Lonchura striata: one gene and its partner. The protein of the gene in region 2 interacts with the protein of the main gene of each other region in a biochemical or structural test. Links are inferred from orthologs where the notes say so. Each region holds a gene or a part of one and is shown on either strand. Other genes may lie near its edges.

Region 1 (7,709 bases), on a different chromosome or scaffold from region 2:
TGAAAACAAGAAATTTGTTTTATTTTGATGCTGTTGCAAAGCAGCACTTAATGATCCAATGCAGAGACTAACAGCAGGAGTCTGTAAGTGGAAGGAATATTGCGTAACTGGGGACTTGAAGTGAGATTTAATGCTCAACAGAAACGCACTATTAAGGCTAAGTGTGAGCAATGTTTAGCCCTGATCACAAATGTGAAATGGAGGGAGAAATGCCTGCCATGATAAAAATTATTTTAGTATTAATGAAAAAGATTGAAAATGTGAAAATGACTATTGTATATGAATAAATACACAGGGAATGAAAATTAAGTAGGTCTATATATTTGATTAATTAATGCTATCCACTCAGTAATTCCTACTGTTGTAGGATTTTAGCTTTTGTAGGATAATGTTGAACTTTCACTTCACTTTCAAATTTTTAATTGTATATGAAGGCTTGTCATACATTTCTGTTACCATTTTTAACCAATGCTGTATTATTTGTATTCCTTTCCTTTGCATAACTGCCTTCTTTTTTTTTCAAGACTGATTTAATACATGAACCTCTGAAACATGAACCACATGTGACGCACTATCTAGTAAAACACTTTTAAGTATTTCTCTCAGTCTTCCAATTTTTTGAGGAGCTGCCCAAAAATGCTGTTTGGCATTCCATATTAAAGCACCAGTATATCATAGCTGATATATTGACTGTAACTTCGGAGATGCTAGGTGTTGGTCTTTTCTAGTGGCCCTCATCACTTGTGCCATCTGTCTGGGAAAGAGAATTATGACTGTGCTAGCAATTGCCTAAGCTCTTCCTACTTACCTATATTTAAATCATAACAAACACAAATAGAGACAGAAACAAACTTGGTCCAATTAATGAGAATTTTTGCCACTTGGAATTAGGTCAGTTAAGTTGAACTCTATAGTCAGTTCACTTTTGATCTAGAAGAAGGGTTTCTGACCTTGCAGTAATTAACCCAGTAGATGCTGTGGTAAGAGGTTGTTAAGGTGGAATGTGTCTGTACTGGCTGTAAACCTGTTCAGCATTGGACATTTTAATAATTAGAGCTCAGCCTTGCAGGCTAATGATAATGTTGATGGAAATATCAGCATAAAACTTGAGAAACAGATTGTGTGGTATAGTTTAGGATGTGCAAATGTGATAGGAAGAAACTGAGGCTTCCTCAGAAGCATGTTGAATTAATTGTTTTGTCAGACTGAACACAATCTGTGGGGCTGCAGATTGAAAACTCTGACTTGAGTTTTGTATGACATTAATTAGCAGAGCCATACCTTTCTTCTGTAAATGCTGAGAAAAAGGAAATAACAAAGTTACTTTTCTGGAAAGTAAAAGTAGGAGATGTTTATTCGCTCACATTATAGCCTTGTTTAACAGCTATTGCATCTTTCCTCATGTGGGCTGTTTTAACTTGTCACTGCTAAAATAAGCACACTGACTGTCTCCAGCAGATAGAACACAACATGCAGCAAGCACAGGAAGCCCTAGGGAAATTAGGAGTAGTTAAGATACACCAAATGAAACAGTCGATTACTCATAATGTCTTTAAGCACTCATGTGGTTGATCCTATTGATACAACCCCTAATAAACAAACAGCTCAGAACTTCCTGAGCTTGCTTCTGTCATTTGAAGGAAATTGACGTGTTTGGGGCAGGGAAGATACAATGGTTTGGTAAATTTCCCAGTTAAAAAAAATCAACAGATAAAATCTATATGAAATTACAAATTTGTGCTTAAAACGCTTCTGCAGTGATTTTTAATTTAACATTCTAGAATCAATTTTTCACTAGCCCACTAACATTGAAAGTGAAGAGACCTCTTCAAGAGATACGTGTTCATAAAAGATTTAACTGTACTTACAAGCTTTCAGCTAATTAATAGATAGCTATTCTATGCTGTTAGTGACACAGATTTTTTACAATTTTGTGCTGTGTTGTTTGGAATGGCTATTGCACATTTATGAGTAAGGAGCAGAATGTGAATGATTTCACATCTGTTTCTCTAAATTCATGTTGTAAAACATGCCATCCTGAGATAGAAGAGCTAAAGCTCCATGACCGTGTCTCCTGGCAGTAAGGACATATGACTAATTCAGCAGCATCAGCCACAATTAAGTGATATTTCCTTCAAAACTGCCGTCATTACACTCCTTGACAGCTTCTTCTGTCCAGAATGTGTCATGCACTTCAAACAGCTGCTGAGAAGTCTGACCTGTTTAGGTCTGTGTATAACTTGGTCATATAAAAATACCATGCTGATAACAGGGATTAAATTCAACTAAATATATTCTTGGGATAAATAAGCACTTACTAGGATATATATCCCTAGTGACATCATACTTTAGAGAAAATTCAGACTGATGATTCCAATGTTGGGCATTCCATTGATCACCATTGCTCAAAGACTGTTGAATGGCTCTCCTGGGGACATTTGTCATTAACCTGTAGATGGAGGTATGTAGAATCAGTTCTTCAGGCCCTTCATACAGATGTCCAAATATCCAACACTGCATTAAACTGTTCAATGCTGTGTTTGAAAGCTTATCTATACAGAAAATCTCTATTACTGCAATTATGTTTTCATATCACTTGAAATGCAATGTCAACTAAAAGCTGTTTTCAAGTTTCTGTGGCTTGTTTCCTGTACAACTTATGCCAAACTGATGGAAGTACTTTTCTTCAGTTATACATACTTCAAATCTTCCTAGAGTAGCTGGGCTCTTCAAGGATGTGATTTTCATTTTGTTTGTGTGTCAGTGTGACAAAAGACTGGCATTCCCTTGGATGAGTTTTTGTACTTTGCAAGTTTTTTTGTATTACTGGACATGTAAGTGAGAAAACCTGCCAAGAAGGAAAGAGAAAATAATGAAAATTAAATATATTTATATTCACTCTTCCCCAAGTTCACTTTTTGCAGTTCATGGATAGGCCTTTAGGTTTATGCATTTTATTTGACCATTCATTTCTTAAATTTATCCACTAATAGAGGCAGATGTTAACTTCTGTTATTACTGGGCTTGTTTTTGATACAGGTTTTGGGTGATGCCTGCTTAGAAACTAAAACATCATAGACAGGGAAATGCAGAACATTTAATAGGTGAAGAAGTAAAGCATACAGGCCAAATACAGAGCTAATTCCCTAATATTTTAATAACTGCTAAGGTTAATTCTTGAGAAATTCACAGTAACACTGTAATTTAACACATTTAAAAATTTGCTAGAAGAGCTAAAGATAAGCGTAATAACATGCATAATGATTTCACTAACAGCTAGATTGCTGTCAGTTCTTTTGGTAATGAATTACATCATTGTAGCATTAAGCAAATGCCAAAATATATTTTTCTGTGAGAATCCTCTGACTTTAGGCACCTTGGTTCTTCCTAATAGCAGTGGTTTAGATACGGATATTGCCATTCCTTATTACCTTGTTGCAACTTGTATGAAAACAATTCCAGACTGAAATAACAGTTACTGAGAACACAACTGAGAGTGTTTTAGCACTGTACAGCTGCTTCGGAACTGTTAGGTCTATGTGTCAGTGTTCTTTGACAGCATGAATCAACGCTCCTTTCCAAAGCACAAGCCCTACCTCCCTCTATAGGCATGATAAGGAAAACCAGGTAAAGCCGATCTGCAGTTTAGCAGGTTTAGCGTACATCATGAGTGTCATCTTATAAATGAATGAAAGTTATGCAGACCCATAGAGAAAGCATTTGTTTCACGAGCTTTGAGCACCAACATTTCAGATTAATGCTCTTATTTAATTCTGCAAGTGTTTGCTTTCTCCATTGTCATTTATTTGACTCATGGTTCTGACAAAATGTTATCTGGTGTATGGGGTGCATTCTCGGTGAGAAACACCACCGGGGCATAGGTGCAGCTACTGGCCCAGTCATATTTCTTTGTATTCAGATCACAGTGAAATCCAGAAATACATCCAGATGCCAGCTCACAAATATAATGTCCTTTTTTGGGCACGTCTTTTAACTGAATTACTGCCACATCCCCTCCTTTGTAAACCAAACTGTTTAATGTTTGGGGTGTAAATGTGTAAAGTGAGGGTGCCAGGAAGATGGAGCCAGGTACAGGAGGCAAGGGGCACAAAATGATGCCCGGGAAGTTCCACCTGAATATGCAGGAAAGCTTTATTACTCTGTAGGTGACTGAGCACTGGAGCAGATTGTCCAGAGAGGCTGTGGAGTCCCCCTGACAGGAAATATTCCAGACCCCTCTGGACGCGGTCCTGTGCAATGCGCTCTGGCGTGGACTTGCTTAAGCAGGGAGATTCCACCAGATGACGCACTGTAGCCCCTTCCACCCTGACCCACTCTGGGATTCTGTGATACGTATTATTGGCTGCCTCTTCAGGCAAAGGGCTGCCGTGCCCCTCTCAGTGCGGCCGTGCCGCGCCGGCCCAGCACCGCGTGTGCCGCACGCCCGGGCTCCATCCCCACAGGGGTCGCCCCGCCCTTGCCCTGATTTAAGATGGCGGCGGCAGCGCCGGGTCACGTGCCGGTGGGCGGGGCGGCCGCGCTCTCCTCTCCGGTGGCGGCGCGCGTGGCAGGATGGAGTCGGCTGCGCTGGAGCGGTTCCACAGCCCGGGAAAGGGCAGCGGTCTCCGCTCCCGTCGGAGGGTGCGGCCCGGAGAGCTGCTCTACCGCGCCGTGCCCTTCGCCTACGTCCTCACCAAGCAGCAGCTGGACAGCGTGTGCGAGCGCTGTCTGCGCAGGTACCCGCGGGAACTCCGCAGCCAGCCCCGCCCGGACAGCGCCGCCCCTTCCGCCGGGGCGGGGGCGCGCCGTGCCTGAGGGCCGGGAGTCCGCGCCCTCAGAGGAGCTGGCTGTGCCGGGCGGGGTGGGATGGGCAGGGCTGCGTGCTCCGGAGAGGAGCCGGCTGTGCCGGGATGGGCAGGGCTGCGTGCTCCGGAGAGGAGCTGGCTGTGCCGGGATAGGCAGGGCTGCGTGCTCCGGAGAGGAGCTGGCTATGCCGGGCGGGGTGGGCAGTGGTATGTGCTCCGGAGAGGAGCCGGGATGGGCAGGGCTGCGTGCTCCGAGAGAAGCCGGCTGTGCTGCGCTGTGCCGGGTCCCGCGGCTGTGCTCTGCCAGGGCGGAGCTCCTGGGCTTGCCGCTTCCTGCCTCTGTTTTTAACTGGGGGCTTTTATCTTAAGCGGCTTTTTTTGAAGATGTCGTCTCTCCCCGGGCGCGGGAAGTCCCTGGGGAAGTGTCCTGGGCTGACAGGAGGCGGCAGTGCCGGCGTGGCTTGGTGCTTCACGCAGTTTTCCCGCTGGGCTGGCGGTGCCGGGAGCGTCCGGCCGCCGCTCGGGGACTCCCGAGTCCGGCGGGGCAAGGGGGAGCTGTGCGCCGGCGTTCGCACAGCTGAGGGGCATCAGCCTTCTTGAAATAAGCAGCGGGCTATGCTTGAGTTTCGGGTCGCCTGGCCAGGTTTATCCCGTAAAAAGCACGTGGCTTTGAGACATGCCGTAAATAAATGCCTGCCTTCTTCCCGCATATCACTACAAGTGGAAACTGACACATAGTAACTTTCTGTGTTTGTTTAGAAGGAAAAAAAAATTTGGATTTTAAACTTGAACAGTATTCTAGCAAGCCGGATTGTGGCAGAGCTGTTAAAGGAGCATCTGTATATTAACACATGAAACATTCTGCTAGATGAGTTAAACCCCTGTATAATTGCCAAGATGTGAGGAAGAGAGACAGAACATTCAATATCACTAATTTTTCTTTTTTAGGTTTTTGCTTTGGTTTGATTTTTGTTTGGGTTGGGTTTTTTTTGGGCGAGGGGAAGGGGATTATTTTGAAAGCATTTGAAGTTTTGTTTGTTGAAACAGTCCAGGTGATTTGTGTCCTGTCCTTTACAGGCATGGTTCTCATTTAATCAAAGAAAAAATTGACAATCTATTTCAGGTGATGCTTGCATTTTATAAGATGCACCTTACATCTTCAGCATATTGAAAAAAAATCCCAACCAAAGTAAAAACCCAACAAAAACTCCCCCCTCCCCCCCCCAAAAAAAAAACCCAAAAAAACCAATACCCTAATAAATGCCAAACTCAAGAGCTTTTTAGCTATTATGCCTGTGAAGTCTGACTTGGGACATAACAGCCCTTCAGGGTGGTGACTGAACATTTTCTACTTGAAATTGTGAGAGGTTGCAGACTTCAGAAGACAGGCCGAGTGTAAGGAATGGGTGCCAGTCTGTAAGGAATACTGTGCTCCAGGACGGCTTAGATGAATGGAGACGAGAGATCTCTGAAGGCTGTTCTTAGAATATCAGGTTTATTAGGGATGGAGAAAGGTCTTGCTTGGAGCTGCCAGATGCAGCACGTGGCAAGGCCTGAGGGGATGGGGTAGCGAGGATGCTCTAGGAGAGGGTGGAAGTTCCAAAAGGGCATCGGCCCCTCAGAGACCCCTTATCAGCGGGCTTCAAGGTGGGCTGGAACAAGACTTGGGCCAATGGGGTTACAGACACCTGATGCTTCAGGGGAGGGTTACAGGTGTGGGATGAACCATACATTTTGGGGGTGAGATGGAACAGTCCATTTGACTTTTGGACCTATCTGTAGGTAAGGGTATTGTCCAGCCAGTAGGAGGGTTGTTTTCATCCTGGCTGTACTACTGTGAATCTTTTGCCAGGCAATTATATTTATCCATCCTTTCCAACAGTTGAGTGCAGTAACAGGTGGAATAAAAGTGAATCTGAGGTGTTCAGATGTACATGTGTAACCAGGGCATGTTTTGTGGGAGAAATAATAGTACTACCAGTTTGTTATATCACAAGAGGTTACTAATTTGTGGTTTTGGTTATATAGTGATAGCAGTTAAATTTTAAAAAGTGACTAAGGAAGTAAAAAATATATTTACACCAATCTGTTTTCCTTTGCAAAATATGTGTGAGTAGACAAAATTTATAGATCAAGACTGTCCAAGCTGACATTTGTCTAATTAAAGGATATATATACATCCATACAGAGATATTTTTTTGAATGTATAAAAATTAGGCAATTAATGAAGTACTGCTAAGCTGTGATGTGCAATAGAACTGTTTCATCTATCTGGATTTTTTGATCTTGTTGAATCTGGTGTGGTCTTTTTTCAAAGTGAGGTACCAGAAAAAAGTTACTGTTCTCTTCCAGGACTACAGATAAAAGTCACATTGTCCACTACTGTTCCTGTTTTTCACTCTGATCTTTAGGTGGCAGTGCAGGAACACAAATTAAAAAAAAAAAAGTCTAATTCTTAACGTTGATTTAGTGGTTTAGCAATCCTTTTATTGATGCAATTAATGTTTGAGGCTTTACACTGACGTGTAATTCTATACTTTTGTCTGCTTGTAGTTGTGAATGTTGCTTGATGCAGTTTTAGGCTGTATGAGAAGTTCTGGGTGAGCCAGAAGATGGGTAGTGAAGTGCAGAGTATCTTCCTTCTGGACTGCCTGCTGAGAGGCAGCATGGTCTTGCCAGGATCTGGGGTCACAGGCTTTGGATGGTGCTGACCTATTCTCTGGCCTTGGCCAAGTTCCTACAGCAAGGGTCTGATGTACCAAAGCAGGGTAAGGTTGGCTGTTGGGGGCAGTTTGCTGCTCTGTTTTAGAAAGAAAAGCTCAGTGCGGTAGTTCTGCTTAGTCTTACCTCAATTAAAGTGACCATTATTGTGGATTTAAAGTGCTGAAGTATTTATATACAAGA
Region 2 (7,109 bases):
TTGTGGGTCAAGTATCTCTAGAGCAGTGGTTCCCATTTCCCAGGGGAATCCCTGCAACATCACAATACAGAATTTCATCTTTCCTGTTCTCATCATCACCAATCTTCCTCCTGCTTCTAAAAAATTACATTTAAGTTGAATATACTAAACATTCCAGAAAACTCTGCAAATAAGCATGCTTAATCTAAGAAACTGGGTTTACACAGAGCCATAAACTTCATTTGTCATATTATTAAATCAAGATGTCATGTCAAGATCCAGAATTGAGAAGTGAATCACAAATAACATGCTCAATTCTGAACACATTCCCATGTTTCCAATGTTATTCTACAAGCTATGTGCAATTATAGCATGCATGATCTATTTTGACCTTAGCACTACAAAATACAAAACATTAAAATAGCAAAAGAAGCTTTTCTTCTTAAAAAGATTTTTCTTTCTTTTCACAAAAAAATCTTTAACTGATTTTTTTCTTTTTTTTTAGTTTAATACTGTGTCAGTTTTACTTGAGAATTTTAAAAGCTTGCATTTAGAAATTAATCTTTCAGGACAGCAAATCTAATAGTTTGCCTAATTAGACAAACCTAGAGTCACTAGGCAATACACATATTTACATTAGCTTGTCACGCATATGAAAACACATTACATTTTCTGCAAATGTATTTAAGATGTACTTAACTACATCAGTCACATTTTCATCATTCATTTATTTTTCTCCAAGTCTAAACAAAAGATACTGTTAGTAGTACAGAATATCTAAGAAGATATTATTATAAAATATGTTCATTACTCCAAACTAAATGGGGATCTATGGATACTTCTCCACAGATCAGAACACCATTGGCTGTGTGTTGTGGAAGAGGGGGAACAAATGAAGGAAATCAATCTAAGTTCAGAGGATGACCAGTTAGACAGCCACCAAACAACTTGTCACGAAAACAGATTACTCATGACTTTTGACTTAGTTTGCTGAGGCAAAAAGTTAGCCTACAGTTATAATATGAAAGAAAAAAATATAAAACTGCAGATTGCCAAGATTTCAAAGCCTTTTTCTTCATAGTCCTTCACAAATACTTCTCATTAATGACAAGGTTTTAAAAACCAGTAATTCTGATTTGTATCTAAATATTAATAACTTATAGGAAATGATCAGGAAAAAATGTGATGTAAAAACTGTAACTGTGGACTAAAACTTCTGCTTCACCAACTTGCTTGCTTCCTCCAGAGAAAACTATAATAAAACAATCTCTCCTGCATTTAGAGTCACTAGGCTTTAAATTCCACAAGCATGTGGACTGACTGGCTTTCCCAATATTCATAGCAAATAACCCCTGATACATCTATGACCAAAATTGAAAGGTTATTCATTTTTTACCATAAATTAGTATTATCAACATAAAAACAAAACAAAAAAGCTTGCTTACTGATATTAAACAATAACATAATGCTCATTTCACTACATGAATAAATTCTGTCACAGCTCTCTATTTAATAACATTTACTATAAAACTCCTAAGATTACCAAGCTATTTTGGAAAAAAAGATTCCTCTGACAGTTTAGAAATCTCAGCAAGCCAAGGCAAGCAATGCAAAAATTTCTATTTTCTTCATCTTGCTCTTCTATTAGTGCCAGGTAAACCACCTGTTCAAATACCAACACAGAGTTCATCAAGGCAAACTCTACACAGATTTTTCTTCTCAAGCAATGAGTCAATCTGACAAATGTTATCTTCCTGTTCTGCTTTATCAACACACACTAAAACCTCGGGGTGGGGGGGGGGAGGATCAAATTAATTATACACAGCTTTGCTACCTGAATCAAATCTGGGGTCAATACGTATTGGTGGCAGTCATTACAGAAAACAGTGTAAAGGAAACAGGAATTATAGCAAGTTCTGACTTTTAAATAGATTTCTGAGGAAATCAGTTATTTACAAAGTCACGGTAAGGAAAGGTATGGGTGAAAGCAGGAAAAGATAGTGACGAAAAAGAATTATTCTAAGGTTTTTCAGTGTGGTACAAATACTAGCTCATCAATGTCCTTTCCCTTAGAATTATCCCTAGGGAATTCCACAGGAAAGAATACTTTCTCGGGTATCTCCTTAGTAAGTGCTTCGCCACAAGAGAACCCAAGGTATTGTGCAAGACAAGCCTGTGGCCATTCACTCTGGTAATACGTCTCTGCCATACACACAGCAATACAATTCTGGAGGCCTCCAACGCTCTGCAACGTGCTGCATTGTTTAAAGAAAAGAAACGCTGTAGTTGAGAGACGTTTTCTGCGCGGACTAGAAATCCCCCTTGTTTTAAGGCAGGCTTCTATTATCTTTTACCACCCTCTTAAAGGACAGTGCATGATACAATACAGCTTAGAAGCTCCCAGCTAATTTAGCGCTTTGATCTTCAGTAATGCCACAGCCAAAAACTAAGAAGAGATTTACGAAGCAAGAGAAACCAAGGGGGGAAAAAAAAGGCAGAAAAACCTCCCAACCTCGTGGGTGCTGCAATGCACTTCAAAAGCAACACGGGAATAAATAATCAAACATTCACTTTTTCCCCTGACAAAAACATCTCGCAGAATCTGACCTACATACCCAATTCACAGCACTACCACTGCAGAGCAATTCCAAGACGAGAAACCACAGCATCAGCGAGCAAACACAGGAAGGTTCAGGGTGACACAGAAATACTCGGCAGGCACGTAAAAACACTTCAGGTAATGCAGCGGTAATGTAAGGGAGCAACATTAGCGCGTGTCTCCCGGCACCGCAAACAACTACGGTGCCGCGCAGCTCCACCCGCACCGGGCCGGGTTCGTGCTGCCCCCGGCCCCGGCACCTCCGGGACCGGCCCGGGGCCCGCAAGGCGCCGGGGCAAAGCCGCCCCGCGGTTCGCACGCGCTCGGGCCGCCGCGCCCGCCCCTCCCCGCACACCCACCTATGTCACGGCGGAGGCCGGGCGGCCGCCGGGGACCCCCCGCGCTTCCCGGCGGCGGCGGGAGCAGCCCCGGCTGGGCGGGCGGCGCGGAGGGAGCGGCCAGGATTCCGGAGCGGAGCCCACCCCCCCGGGGGAGGGGGGGAAAGGGCCCGGGGCCTGCCCGCGCCGGAGCACGGCGGGGACGGTGACAGGCGGCGCCGCGGCCGGCGCGGAAGGAGCGGTGCGGCTCGGCGGGCGGAGAGGAGCGGGCAGGTGCCCGGGGGCGCTGCGGCCGCGGCGGGGCCGGGCCGGGCCGGGCCGGGGGTCCCGTCGGGCGTGAAGCGCCGCGGCCGCCGCTGCTGCCGCCCGCGAGCTCCGCCCCGCGCGCGCCGGGCCCCGTGACGGGAGGAGCGCGAGGCGTCACCGCGCGGCGGCGTCACGGACGGGGGGCGGCGCGCGCCCGGCGGCTGCGGGGGCGCGTGCGCGCCGGGACGCGCCCGGGGTTCGAGTCCCGCCGGGGACGCCCCGCGGCACCCCCGGGCCGAGGGCACCGGGGCCGTGTGGCTCCGCCGCAGCGCCGCCGGACAGGCCGGTGGGTCAGCTCACCGCTCCCGGACAGCCGAGTGTAAGAGAAGCCCGGGCTGGTGCCGTTCCGCGGGATCGGCGCCGTGCGAGGGCAGGATGGGAAGGGGCAGCGCGGTCCCACCACTGCCATCGCTCACTGTATAAATCCCGGCCCCGCCGCAGCCCGGCGCAGGACGCGCCGCCCTGACCTGCCTCTTATGGGGGCTGTGCGCGCTTTTAGGACGATTTGTTTAGAACGGCGCTCTGCCGCCTTCGGGACGCCCATTTCTGCCGGCACAGACTGACCGCTCCGCAGGAGGCACCTGCTTCCCGCAGGAAGTCAATGCATGCAAGGAAGAAGGATGCTACCCTCAGTTAATCAGCGAGGAAGCAGTCCCTGGTACGTAGCAGGCCAGCTATTACAGCTACCCTTGCGGTCTTAAGTAGCCGATGACGGTGAATAATAGCATGGCACTGTAATTAGTTTTGTACAGATTTACCAGTAACCTTACAGGCATGACTACTGTGTGCGAGATGCACAAATGACCTGTGCATGTTTAGTGGATGCCCTTTGAGACACTGCCAGGCCCGGTGTGTTCACACAGAGCTGTACAGAGACAGCAGCGACCTTTGCTGGGGCACCTGACTCCACTGCTGCTCACATGCTGCTTTCTGGGCATGTGCTAAGAGGTATTTAACATGTAAGACAGCAAGAGGTTTGCAAATCCTGAACAAGCACTCAAAATCTACCCAAAACAAGGGTTGGGGGCTACATTGGTCACCCTTAACAAACATGTGAAATAATACTTGAACAGAAGTTTAAGATTTACATATCAATTTGCAGTGGGAACCACATATAAAACTAAGTAATTGCCCGCAAAGTCCATAACCTGATTGAGATCTTCTACCAAAATAGACTTCAAAGAATTATAAAAGAAAATACCATCATAGTCTTTAAAAGGCACTGAAGAAGCCAGTGCTAAAGAGCATCTGATGCAGCACATCCAAGGCACAAGGCACCAACTCACTGATCCCAGAGCCATCATGCAGGGGACATTGTCATCTCAAAGCTAAGACACTGCTTCAGACTTGCGAAAATTGTGTCAGTGGTGTTCACAAGACATTTGTCATGATTAAGGGTCTTTAATTGGGAAGTTAAAAAGGTGACCTTTACTGCCAAACAATAGGGAAACAGCCAAGAAAATGCTGATGTGTGATGCTCCTGCACCATCAAGCAAAATCAATGAGCCACAGCTGCTTACACAGCTTTGAATACACATCCAGTGTTTCCCTTGCCTTAATGTTCCATTTCATTGCCATTTGTCAGCTTTAGTGTTTTGTATCTGGATTTAACTGATGCAGGAGGGCTTAGCAAATGGAAGGTTTTGAAGTCAAAGTTCTTTCACTACAGAAGAAGCCAGGAAGGATTGTGGAAGATCATCCCACAGTTCTCTGCCCATGTGAGCTCTGTATTGCTGCACAAAGCCTGCCCAGCACAGAGCAGCATCCCGAGACTGCCATGCAGAGGTGATGTACATCCTGACAGGCATCAGTGTGATCATGACATAATCCTGAAAGCAGAGCATCTTCAGTATCAGGAACAGGATAAACAACTAAATATTGACTTTGAGATAGAAAATACCTATCAACATCAAGGATCAGCACCTATGATACTGTCTCACACTGAGCTCAGCCCAAACCCAGGGGCATGGCTCTGGGATCATCTATCATCCTACCAGAGTAAAATAAATCTTACAGGCACAGTGTAATTGCTGATTTGGAAAATAACAGTAAAAAATAGCTGACAGGAGTTGAAATAAAGTATATCAGTTATTTATCCATTCAGTTCAAACCCTGTACAGGTGACAGAAGCTGGGAGGTGTGGGGGTGGAAATTACAGAGTAAGCACATCTCAGGATAGTGTACTCAAGCAATTGACTGAAATCTGGCAGAATGGCTCTCCCTGAATTCCAGAATCAATACCTCATTGCAATGAGAGGTTCTTACCTCCTACATGTATTGCTTGAGGCTATACATGTGCCTGTGTTAGTTGACACTAGATCCACAGCTTCTAAACTCTAAAAAGGAACAAACCAGCCCCTCTTCAGAGCCATGCCATCATTCTCCTTTTTCTCCCAAGTTTCTTTGCCTCCCCACCACTCCTTCCTATAGATGGCACCGTATTACCACGTTTTGAATGATATCCAGAAAAGGGTAAGTTAGTGATTAATTTAATAAATATTTAATCAAAGGAGGGGTTAACTGACAGAGGAACAAGCTGCTGGAGACAGAGCAGATAACAGAAGTCAAAATGCCTTCTTCTGGGAACTGCAGTAGGGTAAAGCTTGAGATGCCAGCATGTTATAACATAATCCAGTCTTTCTTCACCAGAAGGAGGGCCAACAGTCTGTTTATAAACTTAAATCCAGCTCCCATGCATTGAGGAAACAGCAGTATTAGTTCAAACCTTCACTAGTCACGTGTGCTATGCTCCTCTGCCTTCCCATGAGAGAAGGAAACAAGTGCCTTCATCTCAGTACTTTCACCCAATCCAAATGCACCATCACTGTAAGGCTAATGGGGAAAAAAAAAAAAAAAAAAAAAAAAAAAAAAAAAAAAGAAGAGCAAACATCTTGGGGAGGACAGTCCTAAACCACTGCTGGAAGATTTATAAAAATGTAATATCACTAAGTGATCTCGAGCAACAGTATTTATGAAGCAACTCATTTACCTTTAGGACTCAGCCATTTTCAGTAACCCAGAATAGAGACACTGTTGACTTTACTAATAAGGCAATTCCCCTAACATCTGCAGCACTCAGCCATTTAACACAAGGCTGCTATTTGAGATGGCAAGGGGAAACTGGGAGATACTGATTAGAAGTATATTAAATTACACTATTTTGCAAAGAGCACACTTTCTTAAAGATTATAGGGGATATTCTGTGTGCCTGTTCAGAAGACTAAACACAGACATAAAAAGCTTGTAACAAGCAATGGTTGCCTCATATTTGTTCATTTACATCTTAAAGCAGACAAGGGACCTTACTGCAGAATGACATTGCACAGGCTATTCTCCCTTCAGCAAACACAATTGTTAGTCTTTAAAGAATGAAGATTTTTTACAACCTAGACTTCATTTTACACTAAGCAAGCCCAGAGAATAATCAGACTTCACTTTATCCTAAATAAATACCCTGAATGAGCAATATTCTGCTTAAGAGTACAGATACAAAGAGTTTCTGTATCTTATGTAAAACATAAGGCAAGTGCAGTTGACAGAAATTGACAGAAGTTCCCCTTCAGTGAATTACATTGCTGTCACAAATGTAAAGTTCTATGACACATATTCAGATATAACACCAGATAGTGGTGTATTGTAGCAGTTGGTAAGCACCTATTCATCCATCAAATGAATATCTGATAAGAGATAGGCAGAATACGCAGAGGTTTGGCCAGAGGTAAATACTAAAGCCACCAAAAAGAGATTTCTAACAGAATGGTAAATGTAACTGTCATTCCAACATTCTTCTCTTTGCTTATTAGAATTATACAGTGCAGTAAATGTTTACATTTCAGTGCTTGGTCAGTTAATCTTGATTCTTCCTGAGGTTCCTTAGCCCTTTTCTC

What was found. The genes of interacting proteins can lie anywhere in the genome.
Region 1: the proteins of MAP3K2 (region 2) and SMYD3 are reported together in a solved structure, tested with the Homo sapiens proteins (2 studies listed by BioGRID and IntAct, with this or other methods). The link is inferred for Lonchura striata from reciprocal best matches to the Homo sapiens genes MAP3K2 and SMYD3.

Annotation. Positions count from the first base shown.
Region 1 is NC_134605.1:32,555,986-32,563,694, reverse strand, and holds the start of SMYD3 (histone-lysine N-methyltransferase SMYD3), read left to right. Parts: upstream 1-4,541; 5' UTR 4,542-4,572; coding exon 4,573-4,736; intron 4,737-7,709. UniProt on the Homo sapiens protein: Histone methyltransferase. Specifically methylates 'Lys-4' of histone H3, inducing di- and tri-methylation, but not monomethylation. Also methylates 'Lys-5' of histone H4.
Region 2 is NC_134610.1:14,452,732-14,459,840, forward strand, and holds the start of MAP3K2 (mitogen-activated protein kinase kinase kinase 2), read right to left. Parts: upstream 3,039-7,109; 5' UTR 2,938-3,038; intron 2,717-2,937; exon of another isoform or gene 2,631-2,716; intron 1-2,630. UniProt on the Homo sapiens protein: Component of a protein kinase signal transduction cascade. Regulates the JNK and ERK5 pathways by phosphorylating and activating MAP2K5 and MAP2K7. Plays a role in caveolae kiss-and-run dynamics.